3 linked regions of the Alligator mississippiensis genome follow. The protein of the gene in region 1 purifies or fractionates together with the protein of each later gene. This does not show direct contact. Links are inferred from orthologs where the notes say so. Each region holds a gene or a part of one and is shown in the gene's direction. Other genes may lie near its edges.

Region 1 (3,740 bases):
GTCTCTTGAGCAAGTGGGTCCAAAGGCCTGAGGTCTGGTGCCCTTCTCAGTCCTGGGCCATTCTTACAGCTCTTCTCGAGAAAGCATGTTGCTGCGCCACAGCCGGAGTGCGATGCCGTTCGGATGTCTGTTCCATGAGCCCTGCTGGAGACCGACTGGACGCCAGAGATGGGGGCACTTGGTGGCTCGCACCCTCCAGGAGCAGGGGAAGGAGAGGGGCACACTTTGGATCTTCATCCCTTGAGCCTGCTGATGTTGAGCACGCTCGTCTCCAGCTCTGCTGCTTTGAAGGAAATGGACTGCAAACCTGCGCTATTTCTCCTAGGCCCTGCCAGCGCCAAGCTTGCAGGGACCCGCCCTGCACACTCGGTCTCTGACCTCTTCCAGGACATAGACCTAGCACTGGACTGTGCCTGTTCCTGGAATGGTTTCCCTCCGCCTGCGCAAGTGCTTCGAGAGCAGGTTGTGCTGCTCTCCTCGAGACGGCTGGCAGAAGTGGCCCTGCTCGGCACGGGCTTGGGGAACGGCTGTCACCGTTTTGTTCAGACTGCTGGTCTCGGTGTGCCAGAAAATACAGCATAAACCCGGTGCGCTGTAGCTATGCTGGGTCTTTGCGGGCCGCGCCTGCCTGCCTGCCTGCCCGGCCGGCTGGCTCGCAGGGAGGGCTCGGGCTCGGGCTCAGCCACAGCCTGCAGCTCGGAGGAGGCTCCCTACGGCAGAGCTCGGCTGGAGCACGGACGAGGTGCGGCGAGCTGGCCCGGGCAGGTGCATCGGCAGCAGTGGAAACGCCGACGCAACCACCACGGGCGTCGGAGCTGGCCGTGCAGACAGCCCGCGCCTGGCACAGCTCTAGGCCAGCTCCAGCTCCTGCTCCTGCCTTGCTGCAGCCCGGGCGCAGCCTGCCCGGCCCCTTCCCGGAAGAGCAGTGGTGCCGGCGCACGAGGGCGGCGCGTGGAGGGCCGGCCCGCGCTCCCCCGCGGGGACGGATGCTCGCTGCCCTTCCCCGGGCCAGGCCCGTGGCCCGAGCAGCGCTGGGGGCTGCTCTCTGCCGCTCTGCGCCCGGCCCGGCCCGGCCCGGCAGCTCCCGCGGCGCCGTGTTCGTCGGGGCCGGGACGTCCCGCCAGGCGGGCCCTGCAGCAGCAGCAGCAGCAGAGCAGGCTGTTTGGCCGGCGCCCCGCGGAGCAGCGAGAGAGCCCGGCCGGGCGTGGGCGTGGGCGTGGGCGCGGCCCGGCCCGCGCGGGGGGTCTGCGGGCAGAAGGCGAGGGGGAGCGGACTGCTGTCTGACCGCCGGAAGTGGGTAGCGCTTCCGGCCCGGCCGGTCCGGGTCGTGCATGCTAATGAGGCGACGGAGGCGGAGTCTAGGTGGGCTGCCGGGCGGTGGGCGTGGCCGGCACGCCAGCGAGCCCGTGGGCGGGGCCAGGCGGCGGAGCTGCTGCCGGTAGGCTACAGGGGTGGGCGGGGCCGGGTGACGCGCGTTCGCGCGGGGCGGGGCCGGGCCGGGCCGGCCGGGCCCATGGAGGCGGCGGAGCCGGACGAGGACGAGGCGGGCGGCCGGGCCGGGCCCCGCGCGGGCCCGCGCCTGCTCAAGGTGCGGGGGCCGGGGCGGTGGTCGCGGGGGCGGGGCGGGGCGGGGCGGGTCCTGTCCTGCGCCCCCCACCCCCTCGCGCGGCGGGAGCCCTTCCCCGCGCTGAGCGCCGCTCTCTCCGCAGAGGCCGGCGCGGCGCCGCGGGAGCCGGAGCCGGAGCTGGCGGTTCGGGTCGCGGGAGCGGAGCTGGCTGCGGGAGGACGCGGCGCGCGGCTGCGTGAGCATCCAGGGCGCGGAGCCCGCGGCCGCCCCGCGCCTCGTGCTGTGCAGCGCGCACACGGCCGCCGCCGAGCTCTGCCCGCCGGGACAGCGCCTCTACCTGCAGCTGCACGGAGACCTGCTCAGGTGAGCCCGCCCCGCCGCGGGACGGGGGCTCGGCTCTCCAGGGCTCGGCGGGAAGCGTGCGCGGGCCGGGCCGGCTCCCCTCCCCTCCCCTCCTCTCCGCGCGCAGACCTCTCTGGCGGGAGCCGAGCGGCAGCGGGGAAGGGGCCAGGCGAGCGCGTGTCCCCGCGCCTGGCACAGTGGGGCTGGGGTGCCTGGTGTCCGCGCCGTGCCGCGCCCCCGGGGTTGTCGTCTTGTGGCCGTCGCCTCCGGACCACGCTGTCCTGGCGCCGGAGAGGAGCCGCTTGAGTCCCTGCAGTCTCCCCGTGAATCACGAGGGTTTCGGCCACTGCCGGGTCCCTTGGTCGCCGCGTCTGACGGTCCCGCCGCGAGGCCCCTCGGTGCAGCGGCAGCTCCTTGCGAGAGGAAACGGCCGCAACTTCGGTGCCGTTGCGTCGCGTGCGCGCGCTGTCAGCCAGCAGCCGGGGGGGGAGCAGCTGCCGTGGCGGGGAGGCGGGGGCAGGTTCGCAGTGCTGCACCCCTCCAGCCTCTTCCTTGCGCCTGTGGGGCGGCAGCCGGCAGCTCTGTCTGGGCCGGGGACACCTCCTGTTTTGCCTGGGAAGGCTGTCCGGACTGGCACAGCGCTACCGCCCTTCACTTGGGACGCAGCTGGCCGATGCCGGAGCGGCGTGGAGCAGATGGAAGAGGCTGAGCTCTGTGGGGGGCTGGAGAGCGCAGAGGGTGCCAGGCCCTGGCTTGTGCCTCGTCGCAGCAGCCAGGCAGGGCTGGCAGGGAGCAAAGGGCCTAGGCCCCGGGGGAGTTTGTGGAGAGGCTGAGAGCAGAGGCCAGGCCGGCGTGGCTCCGCTCCGCACAGCTCTGGTGACGTGGGAACGGAACGTGCTCGACCACGTGTTTCCTTACAGCGGGTCGGAGGCCCTGCCGCGAGGTACGTGATGTTTGCAGCCGGGAGGGGCTGGAACTGGGAAAGCAGCAGCTCGGAGACGGGCTTGTGGGTCCCAGCGGGGAGCACCCTGCACGTGGGCTCCCAGCGGCATGGCGGCGAGAGGGCGCGGTTCTGTGGGGTGCGGGCGGGAAAGCCAGGCGGCCGTGCTGCCTCAGCAGGCAGGAACCACACGCCCTGTGCTGGCTGCCCTGTCAGCGCATCCGCAGGGACGTCTCCATGCTGGAGGATGCTCAGCGAAGAGCGGTGTGTGCTGCTTGGCTGTCTGGCAAACCTGCCTGCCCCCAAGACCTCCGTGCACTCGCAGGAGAGGGGGAAAGGCAACTTTCATCGTGGGCTGTCAATACCAGCAAGGGAAACGTCCGTTAAGTCAGGAGAAGAATATAGCAAGGAGCAGTCGTGGGCAAAGGAAGCTAAGGAAACTCGGAGTAGGAGCAAAGGGAAGGCTTTACTGGTGAGGCTGGCTTGCCTGTGGGAGCAGTTGCCAGAGGGGAGTCGTCCTGACTCCAAGTCCTGTTGCTGTGGCTGGCGTCAGTCTCTGGGCTACTCTGGCTTGGGCAGAAGCCGGGGCGGGCTGCCAGGATCGCTCAGTGAGTCTCTGGCCTTTGCAGTGCAGGAGACAAGAGGAGAGCAGGGCTCCGCTCTGGCTCCGTCTGCTGTCATCCTGTGTTCTGGGGAGGCTGCTGCGTCCCATCCCCGGCGATCCCGGCACTGCTCTGGCCACCTCCTGCAGCTACAGAGATGTGCTTCATTGGGGATGACTCTTGAGTGTCTTGTTCCAGGAGTGCCAGACCAGTGTGACCAGCATGCTCTCTGATCTGCTGTGCTCTCAGCTGCATTCGAAGGGGAGGCGGGGGGCAGTTTGCACTGCGT
Region 2 (3,740 bases), on another chromosome or scaffold:
GCAGGGTGGGGGTATGCGTACCACGGGTTTAGAAACAATGTGCTAGAAGACACGGGATTCACCCAAAGAGCCTCGTGTGCCCACTCTTGTTTAATACCCCCATACCCTGCTCACCCCCTTGCCCCCACCCTCCGCCTCTGCTGCCCCCGGGGACAGCCCCCAGGTGCAGCGCGGTGCCAGCCAGGGGGATGCAATGCAATGCAATGCAATGCAATGCGTGGCGGCTCGCCCAGGCCGGGGGGGTGAAGCCCGCAGGTGCGGGGAATGGGATGCAATGCAATGCAATGCGTGGCGGCTCGCCCAGGCCCGGGGGGTGAAGCCCGCAGGTGCGGGGAATGGGATGCAATGCAATGCGTGGCGGCTCGCCCAGGCCGGGGGGTGAAGCCCGCAGGTGAGGGGAATGGGATGCAATGCAATGCAATGCAATGCGTGGCGGCTCGCCCAGGCCGGGGGGTGAAGCCCGCAGGTGCGGGGAATGGGATGCAATGCAATGCAATGCGTGGCGGCTCGCCCAGGCCCGGGGGGGGTGAAGCCCGCAGGTGCGGGGAATGGGATGCAATGCAATGCGTGGCGGCTCGCCCAGGCCGGGGGGTGAAGCCCGCAGGTGCGGGGAATGGGATGCAATGCAATGCAATGCAATGCGTGGCGGCTCGCCCAGGCCGGGGGGTGAAGCCCGCAGGTGCGGGGAATGGGATGCAATGCAATGCAATGCGTGGCGGCTCGCCCAGGCCCGGGGGGTGAAGCCCGCAGGTGCGGGGAATGGGATGCAATGCAATGCGTGGCGGCTCGCCCAGGCCGGGGGGTGAAGCCCGCAGGTGCGGGGAATGGGATGCAATGCAATGCAATGCAATGCGTGGCGGCTCGCCCAGGCCCGGGGGTGAAGCCCGCAGGTGCGGGGGATGGGATGCAATGCAATGCGTGGCGGCTCGCCCAGGCCCGGGGGTGAGGCCCGCAGGTGCGGGGAATGGGATGCAATGCAATGCAATGCAATGCAATGCAATGCAATGCAATGCAATGCAATGCGTGGCGGCTCGCCCAGGCCCGGGGGTGAAGCCCGCAGGTGCGGGGGATGGGATGCAATGCAATGCGTGGCGGCTCGCCCAGGCCCGGGGGTGAAGCCCGCAGGTGCGGGGCGGTGCGGGGCCCGGCTCCCCCTCCGCAGCTCTGGAAGGTTCCCGTTCGCATGAGGGGGAGGCGCAAAGCCGGCTCGGCCCCCGGCGCCGCTCCGCTGCAATGTCACTCGGCGCCGGCGGCCGCGGGGAGGAGGCGGCGCTGCAGCCGGAGCCGGAGCCGGAGCCGGAGCCGGGCAGCAGCAGCGGCGGCGGCGGTGGTGGTGGTGGCATGGCCCCATCTGCAGCCTCCCGCGCCTAGGCGGGATCGGGATCGGGGTCGGGGTCGGGGTCGGGGCGGCGGAGCCATGGCCAAGGACCAGCTGAAGCCGCGGCTGTGCCACATGCTGAAGGGCGAGCAGGGCTACGGCTTCCACCTGCACGGCGAGAAGGGCAAGAGCGGCCAGTTCATCCGCAAAGTGGAGCCCGGCTCCCCGGCCGAGGCGGCGGCGCTGCGGGCCGGGGACCGCGTCGTGGAGGTCAACGGCGTCAACGTGGACAAGGAGACGCATCACCAGGTGCGGCCCCGGCCCCCGCCCCGGCCCGCACGGGTCTCAGGGCAGCACCCGGACCCAGCCCCGACGTCCCGGGGTCCTCCCAGCCGCCCCTGCCTGCTCACGGACATACCCTGCGGGGCCAGGGCCAGGAGGAGCTGGACTAGAGGTCCAGACAACTGCCCTAAAACCCTGGGGTCCTCCCAGCCAGCCCCCTGCCCGCTCACGTAGATGCCCCGCTGGGCTAGGGCCAGGAAGAGCTGGACAGGAGGTCCGGAGAATTGCACCACAGTCCTGGGGTCCTCCGAACCAGCCCCCTTCCTGCTCACATAGATGCCCCGCTGGGTTAGGGCTAGGAGGAGCTGGACAGGAGGTCCGGAGAATTGCACCACAGTCCTGGGGTCCTCCGAACCAGCTCACATTGATGCCTGGCTGGGCTACGGCCAGGAGGAGCCGGCCAGCAAGTCCCGGGACTTGGTGGGGAGGGCATCAAGGAAGAGGTGCAGGGAGCCTCAGCAGGAGGGTTAGGATGAGGAGACAGGGTGGTTTCTGGCTCTGTTTTTGCGACCGTGGGGCTCCCTGCCTAGCGGGGCAAACCCCTGACCTTTGCAGGGGGCTGGGGAAAGGCTAGGCAAATGTTCAGATGAGGTTCTTTGGGTCAGTCCGAGCTCTTTTATTAGATCAGCTCAAATAGTTGGAAAAAATGTACCGCCCCCGAGGCAAATGTTCGGCGCTTGTTACTAGGGTAAAATGGGGATTTCTGTTGATTGCAGATTGAACTGGACACATAACGGTGGGGACGAGATCTCTTGCTGGCTCGGTGCTGAGCAGTTCTGTGTGGCTATCTGTTTAGGGCAGTAGGGGCTTGAATATATTCGTAGCTTAAAGTATATGGCAGGGACCCCCTGGAAGCGTGCTGCATTTGTCAGGTATTGGTCTGTCTCCTGCATGCTTCAGGGACCGCCCGGGATGACTGGGATAGTGGGCTTCGGTGATGAATTGCTGCTAGTGGGTCCTAGAGGCATGGGTGCTTGATGATCAACTCATTGGCGCAGTGATCTCTCCAGCCAGGGTGCCAGCTGTGAGGTCCTTTTAAGGGTGGCACACAGCGTGGTGCAATATTAGGGGTGCAGACAGCTATGCATGATTCACAAGGTAAACCCAGAGATTTTAAGTAATATCAAAAACGTCCTGCCCTGGTGTGGGCTTTTTTTTTTTTTTTTGCAACTTTTTTTTGGTGGTCAAGAAACAAGTGAAAGCTAAGAGCTGGCATTTTCGGAGGGCCAGGAGTGCCCAGAGTCCAGCAAGGGGCCCTGAGTATAAGGTTGAAAACCGGTGCAGGGCGTTGGAGCAGTTTGTGGTCTCGGTAGTGCTGCAATATGGAGTTGAGCTTGCTGACACCCACACTGGATTTGGCTCTTATTGTTTGTTCATTAGTAAAACAGACCCAGGCGAGCCGAGCACCCTCTGCAAAAGTGAACACGAGCCCTTTCGTTCTGATTTGGAATCGAGTCAGGCTCCATCTCTTCCTCTCTTCTAATTGCTGGGAGGAAAAGGGAGCTCCTGTTACATATGGAGCTGCATTTCCCATCGGAGAAGTGTCAGGGCTCTTCGTATGAAAATCTGATGGGGTGATGATGGGTGATTTAACGTGTCTGAAATGTGTGGGCTTTCTAGTTGCGTGGCGTAAGTGAAACGAGGGGCCTGTCATCTTCTCCATGTTTCCTTCTCCTTGCAAATAGCCCAGCAGATTTCAAAATATTCAGTGTTTCGACAAATAAAGTTAGCATTTGGGATCTCAGCAGGTAGGATGACGTCATGAGGCTGGCAATCCTTATGCTTGAGGACAAAATGCCCAATATTTTCTGGTGCTCCTTGCCCTAAGTGATACCAGGGTGCCGGAATAAAGGGCAATACCAGGGTATTGGACTCCACGGGTTTTCCCATTCTCTTCAGCACAGTGGCCTTTGAGCTAATAACCCTTTTACCTCTAGCACTGAAATGACCCGTAGCAAAGATCCTTAGTCTGTTCACGGTTGTTGCAAGCTCGGGAAGTTGACGTTTTTGGACATTTTCATGGTGTTTGTTTGTTTCCCTGACTTCTGGTTTGTTTTTTTTTCCTCCTAAATGCAAACAA
Region 3 (3,740 bases), on another chromosome or scaffold:
CATCTCCGCACACCCATCTCTACACCCATGCCCCCACCCACAACCCTCTTCAGAGGGCCTGCAAAACAGGGACAAGGGCGAAGGTCAAAGGTCTGAAATGAGTTTACTGAAGGGAGACAGCGAGCAGAGCGTGCCGGCCAGTGCTCAGCAGCCCTTGAGCGTGTGCAAGGAGCCAGCGGACGCTGCTCAGCGAAACTGTGCTTGGAGATGTGAACAGAACAGGAACGGGAAGGGGGCTGTGCAATCCCCGGGGGTTCCCCCAGCCAAAGCCTCTTTCCACGTCCAATAGACAGTGGGGTTTTTAAAACTGTAAAAGCTTTTGGAGGTTTTTAAGGCCCGGCTACACAAAGCCGTGCTAGGACGATGTAGTTGGGGCTGGTCCTGCTTTGAGCACAGGGATAGACTCGAATCACTAGATGTGACCTCCCAACCCTCGTGGTCTCCGATTCTGTGGCCAGATTGACCAGGACCCGGAGGAGGTTGACCAAGAGGACTTGGTGGAGCCATGAACGGGGACGTGTAAAGAAAAAAGGTGCAAGGAGGGGGCAGGGGGTCATGCAGCCAGAGCCTCAGCAGCAGGTCTTGGAGCAGTGTCGGCCTTAGGGTTAATGGGGCCCTGGGCAAGAGTCATTCAGGGCCCCTTAGAGGTCAATATTAACCCACCACAGTTGCATCATGGACCTTTTTACTAGTCTTTGGGGGATTTTTTTTTTAAATTTGTTTCCGAGGCCAGATTAGCCAAAACCAATCCCAAATCCAAGAGTCTAAAACCATAAGTGGCCCTACTACTGGCAAACACCCGCCACCCACACCTGGGGCTCCAGATGTTTCCAAATCCTTTGGTGGGCGTCCTATGTACAGGCCCAAGCCCGGAGCCTGGGGGAGTTCGGACGCCCCCGAGATTTGCTCCTTCTCAGCCATCACCTACACGCAGCAAGCAAGGCAGGAAACCCCCCTTTTCCAAAAATGGGGCTTCACGCTGCTGCACCTCGGCAGGGACTGAACCAGAAGAGCAGGATCTTCGCCTATAAAAGGCAGAAGGATTTACATAAATAGCCGAGTGTTAAAATGCGAAAACTTGTGGAAACTACATCCCCCTGCCCCCAAATAGAAGAATAAAAATTGGGGACACCTAAAGTGTGGCCTGGTTTGCCCCCCCCACCCGGAGGAGGCGGAGAAGAGGCTGCAGGGGGCGCCCCGGCAGCAGGGAAACCCAGCGAGCAAGGAGGAGTGGCCCCCCAGAAGCCAGCAGGCCGAGGGGGCTGGTGCCCCAATCGTTGGGGGCGGGGCCTCAGCTTCTCTCATTTGCATAACCCCGCCCAGGGGAGGTGTGTCTCGGATTCGCTGCGGGTTCCAGAGCCTCTTGGGTTCCCAGCTGCGATTGGCTCCTCGCGGCGGCCCCGCCCCCGCTATAAAAGGCGGTGCCGAAGGCGGATCGCCAGCAGTCGGCGGCGGCGGCGGGGCTAGGCGCACGTGGCGCGGGGGGAGCGGAGCCCGCTGCCAGCATGAGCGACGGGGCGGGCGGCGAGCGGGCGGCGCCGCGCCTGTGCTGCCTGGAGAAGGGCCCGAGCGGCTACGGCTTCCACCTGCACGGCGAGAAGGGCAAGCCGGGCCAGTTCATCCGCCTGGTGGAGCCGGACTCGCCCGCCGAGCGCGCGGGGCTGCGGGCCGGCGACCGCCTGCTGGAGGTGAACGGCCACAACGTGGAGCAGGACAGCCACCAGCAGGTGGTCGGCCGCATCCGCGCCGCCTCCAGCGCCGTGCGCCTGCTGGTCGTGGACCCCAGCGCGGACGAGCCGCGAGCCCCGGCCCAGGAGGTGCAGCAGCAGCCGCCGCCGCCGGCGGAGGAGGAGGAGGAGGAGGAGGAGAAGGCGGCGGACGAGCCGGAGCCGGTGCAGCGGGTGCGTGCGGGTCTGGGGTCGCTTGCTCCCTCCCTCCCTCCCTCCCTGCTGCCCCCGGGGGGGCCGCTCTGCCCCTTGCGGGCTCCAAGGCAGAGCTTCCCCGGCACCCGTGGGACCAGCGCGCGTGCAGCCCGCCAGTGCTCAGCGTAGACGTGCGTTTGCTGTCCCCCGGTTGTCTGAGACTGGGGAAATGTGCATAGATGCATAGATTTTCGGGTTGGAAGGGACCTGTTAGATCATCGAGTCCAACCCCCTGCCCTGGGATGAGCCGATCCCCTGTGCCTAATCCTCGGTTCCTGCCTGCCCGGTTCCTTCAGGCCAGGCTGTGCCCGCAGCGGTCTCGTGAAAGCCGGCCTTGGCTTTCCAGAATAGCCAAGGAAGTGGTCACAAAAGTGTGCCAGGTTCGGGCAGCACCGGTGGGGGGAAGAGAGGGTGTCAGGAAATGGTTGCCAGCGTGGTGATCGTGTGAAGTTCGGTGTGTTTGAAAGTAAAAGGGCGTCCGGTTCTCGGGCAGCCCCAGTGCTGGCATCTTTTTGAAACAGCCCGACCTGCTGGGAGAAAGGAGAGGGTTGGAAATCAGCCGTTTCCAGAGAGCGCATCTTTACCTGTTCTCTGTGCGGGGGGGACTTGCAGCCAGGTCTTCTCGATGTGCTTCCTGCCGAAAGGAGAGGGGAGGTGCAGATCAGAAGGAGGGAAGGTGCAGAGGTGCGAGAATCCAGGCTGCGTATCTAGACTGGAGGAGCTGGACTGTTCTCGGTGGTGACAGAGCAAGGAGCGAGGGTCTCAAGTTGCAGCAGGGGAGGTTTAAGTTGGATATTACAGAAAACTTTCTCGCTGGGAGGGTGGTGGAGCGCTGGAACGGGTTACCTAGAGCGGTGCTGGAAGCTCCGTCCTTGGAGGTTTTCAAAACCCGGCCAGACAGAGCCCTGGCTGGGATGATGTAGTTGGGGCTGGTCTAGCAGGGGTTGTACTGGATGTGGTCCCTTCCAGTCCTCATTTTCTATGGTCTCCCTTTGGTGTCTTGGATACCTCTGAGCCTAGAGGTCGATTTCTAGGCTACTTGTTCAAATTACAGCGGGTTAGAAACCAGCACTAGAATTTTTACATATTTTCAAGCACTAACTTTATAGCTTGTTAGCTCTTTTTTGTAGTTGGATGGACATTTTTATCTTGTGATAATTACTCTGCACATGTGGCCGCTCTAGCTTCGTTGCACCATTAACCAGATAATTGTGTGATGATCACTTCGCACATGTACCCGGTCTTACTTTGCACGTGTTACCAGTCTAAACTTATTCCATGTTTAACCAGTGAGTTGCATAATATATGTAATATATAGCAGGGGCCTAGGTGGCACACGAAGAGCCACAGAATAAGCACAAAAGAAAGCCTGATGATGATTCAGAGCTATTAATGTTGCTTTTGTACCTGGGAACTCGGTGTAGAACCAGTGGCTGGGTGGTACTAGGAGCTGCACAAAGTGCTGAAGGAAAACAGACACACCTTCCCTAGTCTCTATTAATAATCTTCAGGGCTAATTATAGATGTAGGACTTCTGCTTTCCCCTCTGCCCACTGTCAAGAGTGTGGCAGCCTCTGTCTTGCTGCATTGCTGAAATAATGATACATCTCAAAGGAGCCAGTTTCTTATCAAGTTTTCCAAATGAGTATATAAAAGGCATGGATGGAGGTTGTCTCTCACCCCTAGGGCAGAGTGATATCTTCTCTGTGCTGGTGGGGCTAACCTCTTGCCATCTCCAGTGTATAAAGACAAGCTTAGCTTCTGCGTCCCCTATTCATATGATAAAGGGGTTTTTTGGCAGAGGGTCGGGGGTAACTA

Evidence for each region.
Region 2: the proteins of PHLPP2 (region 1) and NHERF2 purify together in Homo sapiens (affinity purification with mass spectrometry; 3 studies listed by BioGRID and IntAct, with this or other methods). This does not show direct contact. The link is inferred for Alligator mississippiensis from reciprocal best matches to the Homo sapiens genes PHLPP2 and NHERF2.
Region 3: the proteins of PHLPP2 (region 1) and NHERF1 purify together in Homo sapiens (co-immunoprecipitation; 3 studies listed by BioGRID and IntAct, with this or other methods). This does not show direct contact. The link is inferred for Alligator mississippiensis from reciprocal best matches to the Homo sapiens genes PHLPP2 and NHERF1.

The regions. Positions count from the first base shown.
Region 1 is NC_081833.1:77,620,510-77,624,249, forward strand, and holds the start of PHLPP2 (PH domain leucine-rich repeat-containing protein phosphatase 2), read left to right. Parts: upstream 1-1,509; 5' UTR 1,510-1,513; coding exon 1,514-1,588; intron 1,589-1,709; coding exon 1,710-1,930; intron 1,931-3,740. UniProt on the Homo sapiens protein: Protein phosphatase involved in regulation of Akt and PKC signaling.
Region 2 is NC_081836.1:57,480,527-57,484,266, forward strand, and holds the start of NHERF2 (Na(+)/H(+) exchange regulatory cofactor NHE-RF2), read left to right. Parts: upstream 1-1,166; 5' UTR 1,167-1,183; coding exon 1,184-1,627; intron 1,628-3,740.
Region 3 is NC_081831.1:11,681,925-11,685,664, forward strand, and holds the start of NHERF1 (Na(+)/H(+) exchange regulatory cofactor NHE-RF1), read left to right. Parts: upstream 1-1,447; 5' UTR 1,448-1,505; coding exon 1,506-1,901; intron 1,902-3,740. UniProt on the Homo sapiens protein: Scaffold protein that connects plasma membrane proteins with members of the ezrin/moesin/radixin family and thereby helps to link them to the actin cytoskeleton and to regulate their surface expression. Necessary for recycling of internalized ADRB2.